Caenorhabditis elegans: one gene and its partners. The protein of the gene in region 1 interacts with the protein of each later gene in a pairwise test. Each region holds a gene or a part of one and is shown in the gene's direction. Other genes may lie near its edges. The genes, in order: F54D5.5, mpz-4 and apr-1.

Region 1 (5,039 bases):
CATCTTCTTCTTCTCACACCTCAAAAGCAAACAAATACCATCTGTGAATTGTGTCTTTTCCTGTGTGAACGACTACCTTCAATTAGTCAAATCGGACGACATACCGTATACACCTGTTGAGTAGAATAAACGGTAGCCGCTAAAGAGAGTGAGCCCTTCCGCGCGGACTAACAACAGCTGCTCATCGGAAAAATCTCTCAGCGATTTCATTTTTCATTCACATAAGTTATTGTTTTGTGAGGAAAGTTTATTTTATTGTTGTTTTTTGTTGTTTTTTTTTGCATGAAAATTGAATTCATAGAATACCCAAATTTCCTAATGAAACACTAAAATTTCCTAGATTTTTGGCAATATTTAAATAAAGTTTTGGTAAATTACCAAATTATCAAAATATTGGTATCTTTTTTGAATAGTTTCGAGTGCAACAAAGGTTAAACCAAATTAAGATATAAACCTTGTTTAAACTTCTTTGAACTGTGGTAGGCAAAAACGAAGTCTATTAAAAAGTTCAATTTTTAACAATTAATTTTTCTTGTTGAAGAGATTAATTGTGTTATTTTGTGATTTTAGAACTATAAAAGTGGTTTTAAGATCTTTAGATAACAAAAATCAATATTGCTACTTACCAATAACTAATGCTAACTTGGTACATAGATAATATCTTGCTCAACTACACACTCTAATTCTACTACGTGGTTCAGTTATACCTCCCGGCTACCGACTACTGCTCCGTTGCAATCACCACCCTTTGTTCTGGACAGTTCAAAGGATCAATGCCGAACGTTTATTTGAATTGCCTTCAGCGGCGGTTATTTTTCTGTTTGCTCGTACTTTTCTGTCAGTGTGTACTGATTTTTTTCAAAAAAAAAAAGATGCCAAAATTGGTAGTTTGACCGGTTTTTGAGTGATATACTTTGGGCAGCTTTGCAATTTTTCAAACGTTTTCTACAAAAGTTATAGTTTAGTCTCATTTCACTAACTATTTATTTTATTAATTTTCTGACAGAAAATATCTTCTAAAGTTCAAATTTCTTAAAATTTTAAACAAATTTTCAGGCTACAGTACACGCGTTCAAGGCGTGGTGGGGCCCACGAAATATTGTCTTGTCTAATTGGCCAATATTCAAAATTTAATTTAAAAACCATTTTCTTCGAATGTTTTTTCCTCAAATAAGTTCTGACGGAAAACATATTATATTTGTTCATGAATTCCAGATTCTTTAGCATCTAGTTACGTTACTGTAAAATCTCATGTGTTTGTATTCTAGAGAGGTCAACAGATTCCTCCTGCTTATTTTCAAACTCGGATTAATTTGCATTTGACATCTATCATGCTTCTCATGCTTCTCATGCCCATTATACCCTTAATGTCATATCCGTCTCCTCCCGAGGCGCGCGTTCTCCAATTCGAATTAGGCGGACCTTCTGCCATGTATAGGATGCGAAGCGGTCCGCGCGTCGCGGTTATATTTGTGGCGGCAATCATCGCGATTCAAATCGTCAACGCTGGCAGCACCAAGAAGAGGAGACACACTACGCAATTCTCCACTTCAAAGACTCGACACCGCCTCGATGCTGATCGTCGATTGCGAGGTCCGAAGGGGGCTAGGGAGAGAGCGCGCGAGACTAAGAGACGCAGACGCAAACGCTTGGAGAAGACCTCGTCTATTGGTGAAAGGAGAGGAGGAGACAGGCGGTTTGGTGACTGCTGTCTCCACACCATTTTTCTCTTCTTCCCGTCTCCTAACACACCCTCCCGATACCTTATGAGGCGTACAGTCGGGAGAGACTTGTTGAATTACGTAAGTTGAGCTCCTGATATAGTTCTGCTTGCTCTTACCGTACTAATGGAGTTCTAGTACTTGACCTCTGGTTATCCAATATCAAAATTTTACTCGTTTTTTTTTGTTTTCTTAGATTAGATTTCAATCGATAAGCTCTTTGTGCTCAGAATTTGGGAAGAAAAAGTGGAACTTTCCCAATGCATTATCTTGTCTTTTTTGACCTACTTTTCAAACCGCCAATAACTCTTTCACCAATTGATCTCCCCACATTTCCAGTCCATATTTCACTGTCCGTCAAGGTCTCCGCCACTCACTCTATAGGCCCCCATGTTCTCCCCATTGACCACCCAGTTCGGCTCGCTTTGATCTCCCACTGTGCGTTCCTCTCCTTTCCCCCTCATTTACTTAATGAACTGTTCTCTTTCTCTTTCATTTCCGTTCGTGTTTTTTTGTGTCTACGCCTTTTCATTAGAACTTTTTTAAATTCAGTTTTTTTCAGCCGCAGATACTACAAAAATGGCGGCGATCATACGAACACTATTCAAGAGCAAAAAATCGAAAAAGGGAGATGAGGAGAATAACGAGGATTTGGTTAGTTTTTCTAAACTTATTTTTTGGTTTATATTGGTGATTGATAATTAATATCTCAAAACTAGAAAGTGCATTGAAAATAGACTGTCCTTTTACGGATTGACCTACAACAAACGCGGAAATTTTCCTCCAATCAGTTGAGAAGTCGCGTCTAAATTTCCGTGATTCTTGTAGATCAAGCCAACATGGTGCACTCTGACATCACGTGAAATTTGAAATTTTCAAATTCAAATTGTTAATTTCCAGGCTCGCGAAGTCTCCAATCGCCGTTCATTCCGTGCACCGAGCACCTCATCCTCCAAATCACAAAGACGAGCTGTTGCTCGCTTCGCCGACGATGGAGCTCTTCCCGCCACTGCCGCCTATCACACAACATCAGCACCAAAACTTCGTAAAGGTCCTCAAAGCTGTCCGGGAGGTTATCGTGACGAGTCAGATGTGTCGTACGAGTCTGACAAGTATTCACAGAAGAGCAATTCACATCGGAGGCGTGACGTGCTTCATCAGTCGATGCGACAAAACTACACGATAGACGAAGGACGGAAACCGAGTAGCAGACGTCATCATAGCAGCAAAAGTGATTTCCGTCGACGTGGTGAATCTTCAGAATACGGAAGTGGTGATCCATCACCGGTTGGACAATACAGCAGTCGTCATTCACATTACGAGGACAGAATTGAAGAATCAGAAAATGATGATTTCAGTGAAAAGGCTCAGTTTGCAGTCATCGAGCGTGCTCAACAACATTACATGCAAAAGTACAAAGAGTCTGAACAAAAGCGACGGGAAGAAAAGAGAAAGTTGAAGGATATGGAGAAAGAGTGCAATGATGCCAAAAACGCCATGTTCCACTATATGAATCAGTTGGATAAAGTGAAGAAGGAGCGGGATTGCTATAGAAAAGAGCTCAGTCGGTGCAAGAAGCAGCTCGAGGCTTTCCAGAATTCCGGATATGATGTAAGTTCATATTATTATTTCAGAGAACCCTCAAATAAATATAATTTTTCAGGCATTCCACCATCTCCGTCAACCACAAATATCAAATCCTCAGCAATATCCACCTCCATTGAGCATGGGCTCCTACCCTTATATGAGCCAATCCATGAATGCTTCTCACCACATGTCATCTAACTTCATGAATAGTGCTCCACCATCAAGCAACACACCGATGACAATGACAAGTGGAGCCGGAGAGTCATTGATAAATCCGTCTGATGTCAGCTTCCTTCAAAATTCATTCCTTCAACCAACTTCTCAAGGTCTTACGGGAATGACTCCACCACCTGGAGGATTCAAGGGTGCGTCCGAAACTTTTTATTCAAACGATACTTCTTCTTCTAACATTAATTTCAATCAATAATCTAATATCTAATCATGTTCATTGCCATATAAATTCGCTTTAAATTTTCAATTATATTTGTTGCTTCACGGTGTGTGGCAAATTTTGAAATTTTGCCGAACTCGGCAAATTTGGCAATTTTGCCATGCTCGTCATACTCGGTAAATCGCAATATTTTTTGAAGCTCAAAAACTGGTTTCGCTCAATTTTTGCCCAATGCGCGTGTGGATTTCTTGAATAAAAAAAAATGAAAGAAACACAATGTTATTTTTTTTCATTAAGTTTCTGATCGAAACCATTAGTTTTCAGCAAACGGCAAATTCGGCAAATTTGCCGCACCTCTGGTGTCCCATTTCCGTATGATCTACAGTAAATACAGAACTTTTTGCCCAGAAAAAATTGGTCTCAGTACGATTTGAACAATTCAAAATCTGTTGAGAAGTCTGCGTATAAATTCTCGCAGTTCTTGTAGATAAAACCAACATGAAGCTTTAAAAGACTATATCATGATTTCAAATAATTTCAGTGCCCACAAACTACGGAGATGATGATCGAGATGAAGTGAAAGACTATCGTTCCGAACTTTTAATCGAAACTTCAAGAAGTACTAAAGAAGTCGACAGCATTTCTCCGTCAAGCTCTGCTGACAGCCAAGTGACTCTACTTGATCATTCCACAATAGATAAGGAGAATCGGAAGCCACCGTCTCGTCCATTCTCTATGATGTCGATTTAATTGCTTTATTTTCCATTTTCCAGATTGTCAGCTATTTTTTCTACTTTCTCTTTTTGTATTCAATTTTCTCAAGAGTTATGTCGGTTTTTTTTCATTTCTACCTTATAACCATCTCTTCTTTAATAAACCCGAAACAGGATCTTGTCTTTCCGCACAAATCCAAATATTATCAGTTGTGTTTGTATGTGTGTGCGGCTCTCATCACCACCACCGGTCGAAACATTTGGAGATGCTCTGGCTCCGCGCGTTCCACTCTCTGCGGCTCTTGATTCGTCTGATCTATTGCGTCGGCGCCATCAGCACTTCACGCATCTTCACCTCTCGTATTGGGAAAGAGTCCGAGAGCCATTCTCTATCCCTTCCTCTACTACTCGATTTTTCCTATTCCTGCATCACTTTATGGCACATCGATCGGCACCGTTTATCAGTAACAGTTAATTTTAATATTTTTTTGGTTCCGATTTGATAAAACTAATATTTATAATTAATAATAACATATTTTCAAAAAAAAAAAGTAGGAACGTCCATTTTCCGGGGTATTGCAAAAAATGATGCTGTAGTTTTCAAGTTTTAGCAACCGATGGGAAAAG
Region 2 (4,205 bases), on another chromosome or scaffold:
AATTTCCATTTAGAATTTAATTGTTTTCAAATGTTAGCATTATCCGAGACATTTTTCATGCTTTTAGCCATGAATAACCAAACTCAAAATAAGTTCACGTCCCACTACTAATTGTACAGTAATCATATTTATTAATTTATAATGTTGTTGAAACATTCCATTAAATTTTTCGAACAAAACTTTTTTTCACTTTGTTTGAAGGCAGTAAAACTTTGAAGCAGTAATTTTTAAAATCTCAAGGGTAACATACTTATGGGCTAACTTTTCAGTTTTGTTTTTACAAAAAATTATCCATTTGCCCTTCTAATATAATATATTTCAGGACAGCCAAGGAGCTTCAAGTATTAATGCAATGCACCTTCCAATGGGTACACGTCCACAGAATGTACCCCATACATTGAATGTAAATACTGATGACTGGTAAGTTTTCACATAAAATTTTACACACTTCTAAAGCACGTTGCTTCACTTCTGATATACTTACCGTACTTCTATTGTAACTCTATTGTGTGCCATTTATTCACAGGTCTCAATCATCGGATTTCCGTCCAGCCTATGCAAAGGAACCATCACCACTGCAGGGTACAGTAATCCGTGGCGATGGACGGAGCCATAGAAACCACGTGTATTCGCGGGAAACTCAGGTATAATTGTGCTCCATCCGGTTCTGCCGCTTTTTATCCAAATCTGGCGTTTGTAAATAATTTTCATAATGAATTCTTATTTGTTTCAATTTGCTCAAATTATCTAATTTTGTGTGTACTTGTGTTTGTGTGTTACTTATTTATTATAGTTAGAACTTAATTTTTTTCTTTTTAAATATTAATTTTTATGCATTTTGAGATTACAACTATTCAACATACAGTACTCCTATGGAATACTGTAATTTATTCACTTTTGACCTACTTTTTGATCTCGTGCAGTGCAGTGTGTGCTTTCATTTGAACCCTTTGTGCTTTGACCCTTTTTCTGTTAGTTTTCAACTTTAATTCATTTTTTTTGCAATAAATTTACTTTTGATACATTTTTTCTAAATATAATATTTTATTTTTCCAACAGGTCGAAGAACAACCAGACGTAATCACTCGCCTTTAAAATTCATTTTTTGCATTTATTTTCCGATTTTCTTTCAAACATTCTTCCCCGTCTTGTAGGCACCGGTTTTAGGCTCTCAATTGGGTTTTGTTTGCTCTTTTTCTTCAATTTGCTGTAATTATATAATTGGTGATCGCTGATAATGTGATTGATATCAAAATGGGTAATTTATGATGTATTCCAATCGTGTAATTTTTGAAATATTCAATAAATAATTGTTCATATTCTTGTTGTTGATTAATATATCAGTGTCTATAAAAATTTAATTAAACAAGCAGTGGCAGAAAAAAATTTCAAAAAAAAATGCAGTTTCAAGACATTATTATTACTTTTTTTTAACAAAGGTAACACAAAGTAACAGTTTTTAAAAAATTCTATAGTTTCTCGAAATTGGTGAAAAAGTTTGGATTTCACAATTTAATTTGCTTCGTTGGTAAGTAATTTTCAAACTCACACGTTTCAACGATTTATTTATTTATTTATTTTAATACGATTCCATACGAATCGTGTCCCAAGAAAAAACATAAAACATAAATGATTGATTTTGAATCACGCGATTTTGCAGTTTTATGCCGAAAACATTCTCAATAAGTTCAGTTCTAAAAAAAAGTTAGAAAATCACGTTGAAAAAGATTTAATAATTCTGACCTTTGATATTTTATCTTCACGTTCGATCAATTGCTCTAATTTTTTATTCCCTCCCCCCCACCCCCTCTTATCATTGTTCTTCTCGATTCTAATTTATTTCACAACAATCGATAATTCAAGTATCAAACAAATTCAATTCAAAGCATTTGATAGCTTGAAAAGATGCCACAAGAAATTCCACCTGCAGTCAAATATAAAATCTATCCGGAAGGTGCAGAGGGAATAGACACGGTTTGGGAGCGGCCCGGATTCAAGAAGGGAGAGGTGAGAGGGGTTTTTTGGAATTTGGAAGTTGGATTTGGAATCGAAACAGTGAGAAATTTGAATAATAATTTTTGAACTTTATTCAAGATTTTTTTAATAATTAATTTATTTTTCTTCATTGTGAACAATATTTCTTGAACTAAGTAATTGAGGCAGTCGGGGGTGTTCGAAAGAATATTTTATTATAGAATCAAACTTTCTTTTTTTTAATGGTTTAATGGTTTTTTTAATGGTACACTAGTAGTGAAACATAATTTTATTTTAAAAGTTATTTCTATTCTAGAAACACGTATTTCAGATAGAAGCTCGAGTCAAAGATGTGGTCATTCTGCGTGGAGAACCAGTTCCAAACAGCTACAAAATGCTTGTAGAGGCCACATTTGAGCTCCCAAAGAAGGATAAAATAACGGTAAGCGACATCATCAATGACTTTATGTAAAACGTTTTTGATTTCCAGCAACTCGGACTCGTCAATCGACATGGGTTGGTCACTCGTGTTCATTACGCGAGCCCATTCAAAGGAGCAATTCTACCGGGTGACATCATCTTGCAAGTGAACGGTACGACTGTCTCATTCGATGAGAAACAATTGACAGAGCATGTCGACGAGACCACCGGTGGAGCAAGTCTCCAGTCAAATGTGAAGACTGTTAAGAGGAAGCCAACGACTACACCGTAAGGACAAATGTTATGAAAACTTGAAAAATATTTACCTTATTAAGGAAAACTGAACCTGTGAGAGCACCACATTCACTTTATCCAGACTTCAAGGTTGTTGTCGGAAAGATTTTGAACTCAAAATCTGAGACAAAGATTACGGTTCTGGTCGCTAGATTGAAGAACAGAATGTCTACGTCTAAGATTCCAAATGGTAAGTTTGAATATTTGTTTCTTATTGTGAAACAGTAATTTTCATATAATTTCAGGTATCTTAGCCACACAGGATCACACCATCGATTTGGCCATTCTCTACCAATTCAAATACCTGCAGCTTGGTCTGAACGTGCAGCAGGTCGACAGAAAAGTGGTGGTCAACTACACTATTCCGGATTCAGTTTCACATTGTAGTTTGAATATTGGTGAAGCTATTATTGCTGTTGATGATAAACCAATCAACACTCTGGCAGATAATCGTCAACGATTTCGCGAAGGATTTGAGGCGAATGGATGGATTCGATTGTTGGTTGAGTATCCGAATACGGATCCAATCAAAAATATGGTTCGGGGACAGCTTGCAGTTGGTTATTTGCCTCACATTTTTTTTCTTCTATTTTAATTGCAGAATGTTATGAGAACTGCCGAACGACCGCAATACTTGCTTTGTGGAGATGTCCGTAAATACTTTGTAGAAGGAATTGAAGCTCTGAAAAATGGAAAAGCGTTGGCTCCCATTTTAAAAGAGGAAGAAGGGCCGGGAGAAGTTGGGAAGAAGAAGAGTGATGCGAAAGTTACCAAAAAGTATGTTTTTAAATAAATTAAGATAAAATCTTCAACTAATTCAGGGACCCGGCTGTTGGATTCAACAACACAACTGAAGAATTTTTTATTCCGGCGGAATGGAACTCGAAGCTTTTCGTTTGGCTCCCGCCGCTGAAGACCAAGGTGACCGAATCGGCATCTTCGAACATGCCGGTTAAAAAATGAACTTCATTCTTCTTTAATAAAACATTTGACTGATCTCGGGCGGGCTCGAACCACCGACCTTCTGTGTGTTAGACAGCACAGGTAAAGCGCTAAAAGCGAGACATTAACCAAATGTACGTGAAGGCCCGCTAAAAAGCCAATGATGGGTCGCACCTAAAAATTTTTTTTTTAATTATTGGAAAATCTAACATCGGTGATGGAACAATTTAACATTTTTTGGAAAATACTTTAGTTAAACATTAATTTCAGCTAGATTGTTTTATTCAATCATTTCAAATTTCCGAAAAATTTTTTTGAAAATCAGCTTTTATATATTTTTATCAATTAAAAAAAAACACCCGTACAAGCTATTATACTCTGTTCGGCATTTGCTGCTATTTTTGACTATGCTTAAGAGTTTTATGAAATAAAAAAGAATGACTCCATATGATTTTACAGGACTTTTGAATTTTTGAAAAAATCAGCTTTTATATATTTTTATCAATTTTTAAAAAAATACTTCCGTACAAGCTATTATACTTTGATTGACAGATTCTGGTGTTTTTGACTATGCT
Region 3 (7,801 bases), on another chromosome or scaffold:
ATCAGAGACATCGAAGCCGCAAATTCTGCGAATCTCACGCCTCATCCATTCGTCTCCTTAAAACACTTTTTTTTCTATTTAAGTTTTCAAATTTGATTCAAATATATTAGTTGATCCTTTTATCAACTTTAGGTATTCTATCTGTGCTTCGATATACTACGGTCTAATTTGGAAGCCATATATGAACATTATAATTACCCATATTGTGCAGGGTATATGTTCACATAATATAAAAGGCCTGTTCAGTTCAAAAAGTATACTCCAAAATCATTGGAAAGTCATTTTATGAATGAAAACTGTCGTATCTCATCACTCAAATTTTCACACCTCGTTAGTTACAGTTCTATTCATTCCGGTAACCCTATTGTGTTGGGACATAAGATTCCTGATGGGACCACAAAAAAGTGGTGGCGTGTTTGCTACCCAACACAAATACCCTTGACTAGAGAAAGGGACTACGCAATCGTCGCGCAATCTGCCCCTTTCTCAACAGCAACAACCAAATTGGCTTGTTGAGAGGAAAAACAGTAGGTGGGATTACACACACTTTCTCTATCTGCCTAATATCTCTGTATCCTTTTCTGCTATTTTTTCGGCGCGAAATTTGAATTTGAATATCATAATTTCGTGGCAAGATCTAACTCCATTTTAAAGGTAGACGATTATTTTATCGGTGGGTCTCGCCAAGATCTCCGGAATTTTTATTGTGACCGAACCCAAATTTCATGATTTTTCAAAAATAATTTTAAGTGAATGTATAATAATGAATAGAAAAAGTCTGAATGTTCAGAACCTAGTCGGGTCGACTGAATTTTTGGAAAACATTTAGCGAACGTACATCACCCAAATTGTTAAAATAAACAGAGAAACATTCTATTCGTACCTATTCAGCCTAAATCAACCATTACATCCGTCTCCCAGTTTTTCCATTCCCACCTTCTAAATTGTATCATATATATATATATATATAAAATCTCACCTATATGTTGAGTACTCTGTCCATTGCTATCGCACATCTTCACCTCTTCATTATAGACATTAAATAGTTTCTGCTCTAACTCGCCTTCTTCAATACGACAGTTCGACGAGCTAGATGTAGAAGATGTTGAAGGACTCGAAGTAGATGTAGTAGTTGCCATTCAACGCAAATACACAAAATGAACTATTCTCTTGTCTTTTTTCTTCTTAGTTTTACCCCCGTTCAAACGCCTCCTTCCGATTCATCTTGTTGGTTGCAAACCATTTTTACCTTTCGTGCGCCGGTTTTGGAACTGCGGAACACGTAGTGTACTGTGTGGCGCCCTCCCTGTATAGTTATACACTCGACACTGCATATTTACATTGCGTTTCTTCGGTTTTCTGAAGGTCAAACCGATTGACTTCATCTCTGTTTCTTCTTTTTTTTTCAACCGAGGGGTTCGTGGCTGGCCTTCGAGTACTTTTGAACCATGGACAGCATAGTTTTCCATGTTGTTTTTACGGCCTTGAAAATTGAAGAATAGCAGCAAAAACGGTCACCTCTCGCATTGTAAACACCTGTTCTTTCGAATCAAAATGGGAATAAAACCACGAAGGAGTTTAATTAAAAGTGCTATTCAAGCTGGAACAAGAAATATTTTCGGTCCAAAAAATTGAAATCATTCAGAAAACCAACAATATAACAAGAAAAATTTAGGTTTTGAGTTTGTTTTGAAAGCTTAACAATTTTTTGTTTTCAAATATTAATTTGTTAAAAGAGTGATTTTTAACAATTATTATTTATTGGAATACATTGATGTACCTTTTCTATTTCTTATATATTCTCTTCAAATATATCAAAGATCATTCAAAATAATAAAATTAAATTTCAGATGAGCTCTAGTAGTAGTGATGAAAATGAAACAACGATACACAGAACAGGATCAAATACCGGTGGAAGTGGAATCTACTCACAACCTCGAGCAGGATCATCAAAAAGAACATCGAATGTGCGACATGATGTTAGTGATGTAGATGATGAAGAAGAGCATTATGCAAGATTTCGCGAAGATACGGTAAGGATTGTTGGAAAAAACAGATTTTCGATGTTGGTAAAAGGCCAAGTTTTGACTTTTTGAGGAATTTGAGCAATTTTTGTACCTGTACAATGGTCTTCTAAGTAAAAAAAATCGGAGCGTAAAAAATTAGAATATAAAAGTATTTTTTAAGCTTTTTAACTATTTTTTCTGAAAATACAATATTTAAAAGTTTAATTACAGGCGATCGAGGTTGACGATGCTATAACAGTTCTTCTTTCATCTCTACATTTCGAACACAAACGTGATATTGTTCCGACCGATGAAGATGATAATAAACTTCGAGAACTTCACGAAAAGATTTTTGCATTGATAACGAGTGAATCTGATGTTAACAGGTAAATCCGAAATTTTCAGAATATTTTTCAAAAAATCGTTTAATTTTAGAAAAAGACGGCTGAAAAAAGCTCTTCCTGCGTCAAACTGTGTTAGAGAACAAGTATATTATCTTCGAAGGAAACCATCAACACCACCAGCTTCTTATTATCATCGACTAAATGCAGCTCTTCACACAATCGTTAAGGAATCATTTGGAGAAGAATATCGAAAAGTTGCTACAGTATTAGGACTTGTTGAAGCGCTTGCAGAAGTTTTAATTCTTGAAGTTCACACATTTGGAATCAATGAGACCAATCCTGGAGAGCATCGAAATATTCGAAAACTTATTGCCAATGCTCTTACGAATTTAACATACGGTCAAATTCACTCTAAACGCCGGCTATGCTCATATGATGGATTCATTCGATGCGTTGTTCGAATTGTGATCGAATCTCCAAATATAACTCAAGTATACGCTGGACTAATCAGAAATCTCTCATGGAACGCCGATTCAGGAATGAGTGAAGCTCTTCAACCAACAGTTCATGCACTTTCAATTGCTGCAGTACATGCACATACACATAGATTCGATGTTACAGCAACATTATCTGCTTTGTGGAATCTTGCTGGTCACTCAGTAGAGAATAAACGAACTATTTGTGATACTCCGAATTGTTTAAAAGTATTAGCCAGCCTTCTATCTCCTGATGCAAGATTCACGTCACTTGTTGATTCAGCTACTGGAATTCTGAAGTATGTATCACAATATCTCGCGAATACTTCCACGCATTTAGAGGTTAGTTTTTGATTTGTTTTTGTTGAAAAATGCAAGTGAGGTTTCAAAGTTATCTTTTTTTTTCATAAATAGAAAGAAAAAAATCGAAAAAAATTTCATGGCGAGTCAAAATTTTGCAAAAAAAAATCCAAATCTTGCTAAATCTTTCGTCAACTTGCGCTTGTTTCCAATTTTGGACATTTCTGAATATCGACTTAAAATGTGCCTAAATAAATTAACGAGAGATAAAAGTCAGAAAAATATGCCACAAAAAGTGATTTCTTCAACAGGGATTTTAAAAGAAAATTTTGGAAAAATTTTACCCTTTTTTTCACCTTTTTGTAAATTTTTTGAGAAGTAAGTAGGTTTTTTTTTTGAGAAATTACGAAATTCGATGGTTTTGTGTCAGTTGAAGTTTTTAGGCAAAAGAACCCACAAACACTTCCCTTTTGCACATAAAATTGATCAAACTGAACAAATATCATTATTTCAATTAATCCAATAAAATTTCAGCTAAGAAGCTTGCTCATCACTCGAATGCTCACTTTGCTCAAGAGTGCCTCGTTCACTTGTGTTACAAATACTCTAGGAGCTATTGCAAACCTAATTGTCAAAGATCCCCACATGCAGCAAATGATTCGGCAGGATATGGCTGCAGTACAGCAACTCAACGTACTCCGAAACTCGAATCGTGATGATATTCGGACAGCAGTGAAGTCTGTGCTGAATACTCTTAATCAACCGTGTAGTCATCGTTATGGTGATATGTCACATTCTGTTGGAGGAGGAGCCACAGGGATGCAAATGCTTTCGGAGCCACAACTTCAGATGCAAACATCTCATCATGCTTATCATGGAACTGCGTCACCAAGATTACTATCACTGAGAGCAACTCGAGCATCACCTGGAAAATATATACAACCACAGGCTCAACAACAGTTGATACAGACTCCACAAGTTGATCAAAGATCTAGTAGTCTGCCAAGACATTTTGCCGTTCAACGAAATGGATTTGTGATGGCACAGTCCTACAATCAACAAATGGATCAACATCAGCAACAACAAATGATCTATCAATTGCAGCAACAACAACAAATTATGGTAACGATTTTCCAGCGTTTTTTTCTGTAATTTTCTCTTAGTTTCAGACGGAGGATCAAGCGCAAATGGAACATCATCAACAAATCATGTACCTTCAGCAGCAACAACAACAATTTCATCAAATTCAACAACAGCAACAAATGCAAAAAGCTCAGGAAGCTGATCCAGTTCCTCCTACGGATGACGATCTAGATATTCCCACATCTACCGTAATGGGAACACGAAGTAACAGTGAAAGAAGTCTCGGCTCGATGAATCCTGGAAGTGTTATGACAAACTGGAATTCTTCTCTGGATACTGCAGCCAACAGTTCTCGTGCTCTTTCTCCTGTATCATACAATGATATTCCAGCTTCTCCAACAATGTGTGCTCAGGTGTTCAATTTACCTAAATCCACTGAATCGGAACATCATCAATTGACGTCTCAACAGCAGAACACTACACATTATAGCAGTGGATCAGCTAACACTATGACTCGGAGTGATGGTGCAACTACTGTGCCAATGGATAACATTATTACACCAACTTATGCTATTTTGAATCCAATATTGGTACACGAACAGACACCGAACGGGACAGTTCCACGAAAGACTTCAGAAGAGTTGGATAGTCCTGATGATGTTCTCCCAGGTCCATCTCTTGAGGAGGAAGAAGGTGATTATGCTATAATAGGAGGTGCCGCACAAAAGACAGATGACGAGCTTTTGACTCGTTCTATTCAATCTGAAATGCCTACTTCGTCGTCTACTCCGAAGATGAAAGTCTCGCCTCGCCTTAATGGATTCTTCTCTCCAACTCAGAAAACAACATCGTCTCCTGCATGGTCTCATCCAGATACCTCACCGATTCCAAAGTCATCTTCTCATCGAACTCAACCTAATCGTCGTCAAGATGCTTCTGATGCAGATCGTCTTTTAATGGAATCAATAATGTCAGAGATGCCAAAAAGTCGAATTATATCTCCACGACTTGCTGGTACACAACAATATCTTGAACCCGAGCCAGAGAGAAGAAGTCATTCAAAAAACGAGGAAGCCGATCGCCGCGACGCATTCACCGCATCGCATGAGCCCAGCGATCATAACGGCATTGATGTGGCAAGAGGCTCAGACTGGTCTCCACAACAACAATTACATCGAATGGAGTCATTGGAAAGCCAAGCTAGTAGTGAAGATAGTTTTGGATTAACTGCTGAAGAACCAAATTCATCAACTTCTGGTGCTGCTGCAAACACTATGAGATTTGACGATGAGATCGATGCATCTCTTCCAATGGATTGTGTCGATGATGATGATTACGACTATACTTATGATCATTTCGAAGATTATGAAGATGAGGAGGATCCTGATGCGACTCAGTTTGATGATGGAGTTGATGCACAACTAACTATCGATTGTTCAATGATTTCTAGTGGAAGCGGTTCATCGCAAAGAAATGAAACTACGACAACGTCACGAGATTCAAAAGCTTTAGCTACTTCCACACCAAAAGGATCTGCATCTTCACTCCCAGGAGTTCGACAAGCCACCCGAGTATCAACGAATGGAAAGTCAAGACTGCCTGTTCCAAAAACGAATGGATCACTTGTTGATAAGGTATTTATTCTATTAAAAAACTCTGATTTTATAGAATTAAACAATGTCTCATGAAAATTGAAAATCGAAAAAAACGAGAGAAAATTCAAAAAATTAATCACAAAATTCAATTGTATATTGATGAAAAAAAATATTTAAAAAAAACATAACTTTTGCCTAAAAATAGTAATATGACCAATATTTGAGATTTTTTCGAAAACCCGAAATTGTTTTTCAATATATCGGGAAAAAAAAAACGAAAATGTTCGATTTTAGAAAAAAATCCAAACTTGAACCAACAAAAAATGAAAACTGGTAAAAACTCGGCATTTGGCTCTAGCTTCTTGCCCAAGTTTAGACAGCTTCTGATCCAAGTTAATTTTTTTTTGTTTTATTAACGTAAATGAGTACAGTAGAAAAACAAACTTTAAAAAATATATCAGAGATATTTAACTTTTGAAAAAAAAAACACTAAAAACCATAAATAAACCCACATTTTGTTAAAGAATATTTGTAAAATATGGAAAAATAGAAAGTGAGTTTTTTATTAATTTTTTTTTAGCAAAAAAAAATCAAAAAATGCCGAGCCCTGCTCCCAATTTTTTTAAATTAACTTTGATAAAATCAAAGACCAACTGAATTCTAAACGTTTCAAATTAGATTTTCAAACCTCGCTTTTTTGCAGAATCCCAAGCCAATCATCGCTTCCCGGCGGCCACGATTGCCACCGAAGCCGACACTTTTAAAAGATAAGCACTATCCAGAAGAGGATTCGATTGAGAATCAGACGAGAGATGATACGATATATGTGAATGCTCCAGTTGTTGAGGCAGAACAAGAACGAATTTATATGAATGCATTGAAGCAACAGAAGAACATTGAGCAATCACCGTCAATTGGAAACGGATCACCTATAGCTAAATCTGCAATTGTAACGCCCTACAATTATCAGAAACCGCCTTTCACTGTAAGAAAATAATTACTTTTTTTTAAAAAGTACAGTATCAATTCAAACATGAAGAAATATTCTTTAAAATAAACATTTTCAGGGTCGAAATAATGGTGAAATGAGCAACGAGAAGAGTGTGACACCGAATCCTAAACAAATGCTTGTAACAATAGTCTAATGATCCGCTCATATACCGAACCTTGTTCTTTGTATCCCCGTCATCTCTAGTCGTTCCCAGTTTCTAGTCGAGTGTTCTCATCTTCTTATTCTACCTCGAACTTTTATATTATTGTCTAATGGACCCTGTAATCATATTTCTAGCGCTGGCAATATACTATGTTTTCCAATTTTCTGTAAAATGTGATTTGGTTCTTGTTCTTGTTTCCATTACCTGACCGCTCAATACATAGCTGTTAATATGTTTCATTCAATTTGTAATACGAGTTCTTTCAACCTCACTCTGCTCCATTGTTTTCTCATCTTTTTTGAATCATAAATATTGTATATATTTATTAGTGTGAAGAAGTATTTGTTTTATTAGAAATCGGCAGGAATGGGAGAAAAAAAAACACGAGAGAATCAGTTATATTATGCAAACTTTCAAAGAAACCATTATCTTCAATATAGTTCTTCTCTGGATATGTTACGAAGTGAATGACGATTCTTATGAGTGAGGAAGGCAGTCAGTGCGTAGAAAATTCCCAGGATGAATGTTAGGAACTGAAAAATTAGGTTCATAGGTTTTTTGAGAGTTTTTTGTTGAGGAAAAATCCAGAAGAAAAGGAGCTAGTGGTGGATAGTTTATCTCTTTGTAACTTTTTTGATTTTCGAGTTAAGAATAAATTGTTACCCAGACGTGAATTTTGCGATTTTTGCGCCAAAAGTACGGTATCTGGTCTCGACACGACGAATTTTTTGTGAAATACAAAAGGTGTGCTATTGTAATTTCAAAATTTATATCGATTTTTATAGCTTTTCGTTAAAGACATATTCGTTTATCAAAAAAAACTATAAAAATCGATGAAGTTTG

What was found.
Region 2: the proteins of F54D5.5 (region 1) and mpz-4 interact in a two-hybrid assay, tested with the Caenorhabditis elegans proteins (one large-scale study listed by BioGRID).
Region 3: the proteins of F54D5.5 (region 1) and apr-1 interact in a two-hybrid assay, tested with the Caenorhabditis elegans proteins (one large-scale study listed by BioGRID).

What each region holds. Positions count from the first base shown.
Region 1 is NC_003280.10:11,563,963-11,569,001, reverse strand, and holds F54D5.5 (uncharacterized protein), read left to right. Parts: upstream 1-1,981; coding exon 1,982-2,159; intron 2,160-2,283; coding exon 2,284-2,375; intron 2,376-2,621; coding exon 2,622-3,332; intron 3,333-3,384; coding exon 3,385-3,673; intron 3,674-4,240; coding exon 4,241-4,449; downstream 4,450-5,039. Other genes in the region: F54D5.23 (Ovule protein), read left to right, coding at 1-47; F54D5.15 (ZM domain-containing protein), read left to right, coding at 4,849-4,882.
Region 2 is NC_003282.8:4,824,966-4,829,170, reverse strand, and holds mpz-4 (PDZ domain-containing protein), read left to right. Parts: upstream 1-1,850; 5' UTR 1,851-1,905; coding exon 1,906-2,007; intron 2,008-2,305; coding exon 2,306-2,416; intron 2,417-2,464; coding exon 2,465-2,682; intron 2,683-2,729; coding exon 2,730-2,878; intron 2,879-2,933; coding exon 2,934-3,244; intron 3,245-3,289; coding exon 3,290-3,465; intron 3,466-3,509; coding exon 3,510-3,651; 3' UTR 3,652-3,683; downstream 3,684-4,205. Other genes in the region: tat-2 (Phospholipid-transporting ATPase), read left to right, coding at 323-420, 527-644, 1,060-1,095.
Region 3 is NC_003279.8:8,048,193-8,055,993, forward strand, and holds apr-1 (Adenomatous polyposis coli protein-related protein 1), read left to right. Parts: upstream 1-1,850; coding exon 1,851-2,033; intron 2,034-2,237; coding exon 2,238-2,392; intron 2,393-2,441; coding exon 2,442-3,168; intron 3,169-3,660; coding exon 3,661-4,248; intron 4,249-4,289; coding exon 4,290-5,843; intron 5,844-6,507; coding exon 6,508-6,789; intron 6,790-6,871; coding exon 6,872-6,949; 3' UTR 6,950-7,276; downstream 7,277-7,801. Other genes in the region: K04G2.7 (HTH CENPB-type domain-containing protein), read right to left, coding at 1-56, 980-1,139; K04G2.9 (MARVEL domain-containing protein), read right to left, coding at 7,390-7,491. UniProt on the Caenorhabditis elegans protein: Has a role in endoderm cell specification and pharyngeal development. Required for the migration of epithelial cells, organization of the anterior seam cells and ceh-13 expression during embryo morphogenesis.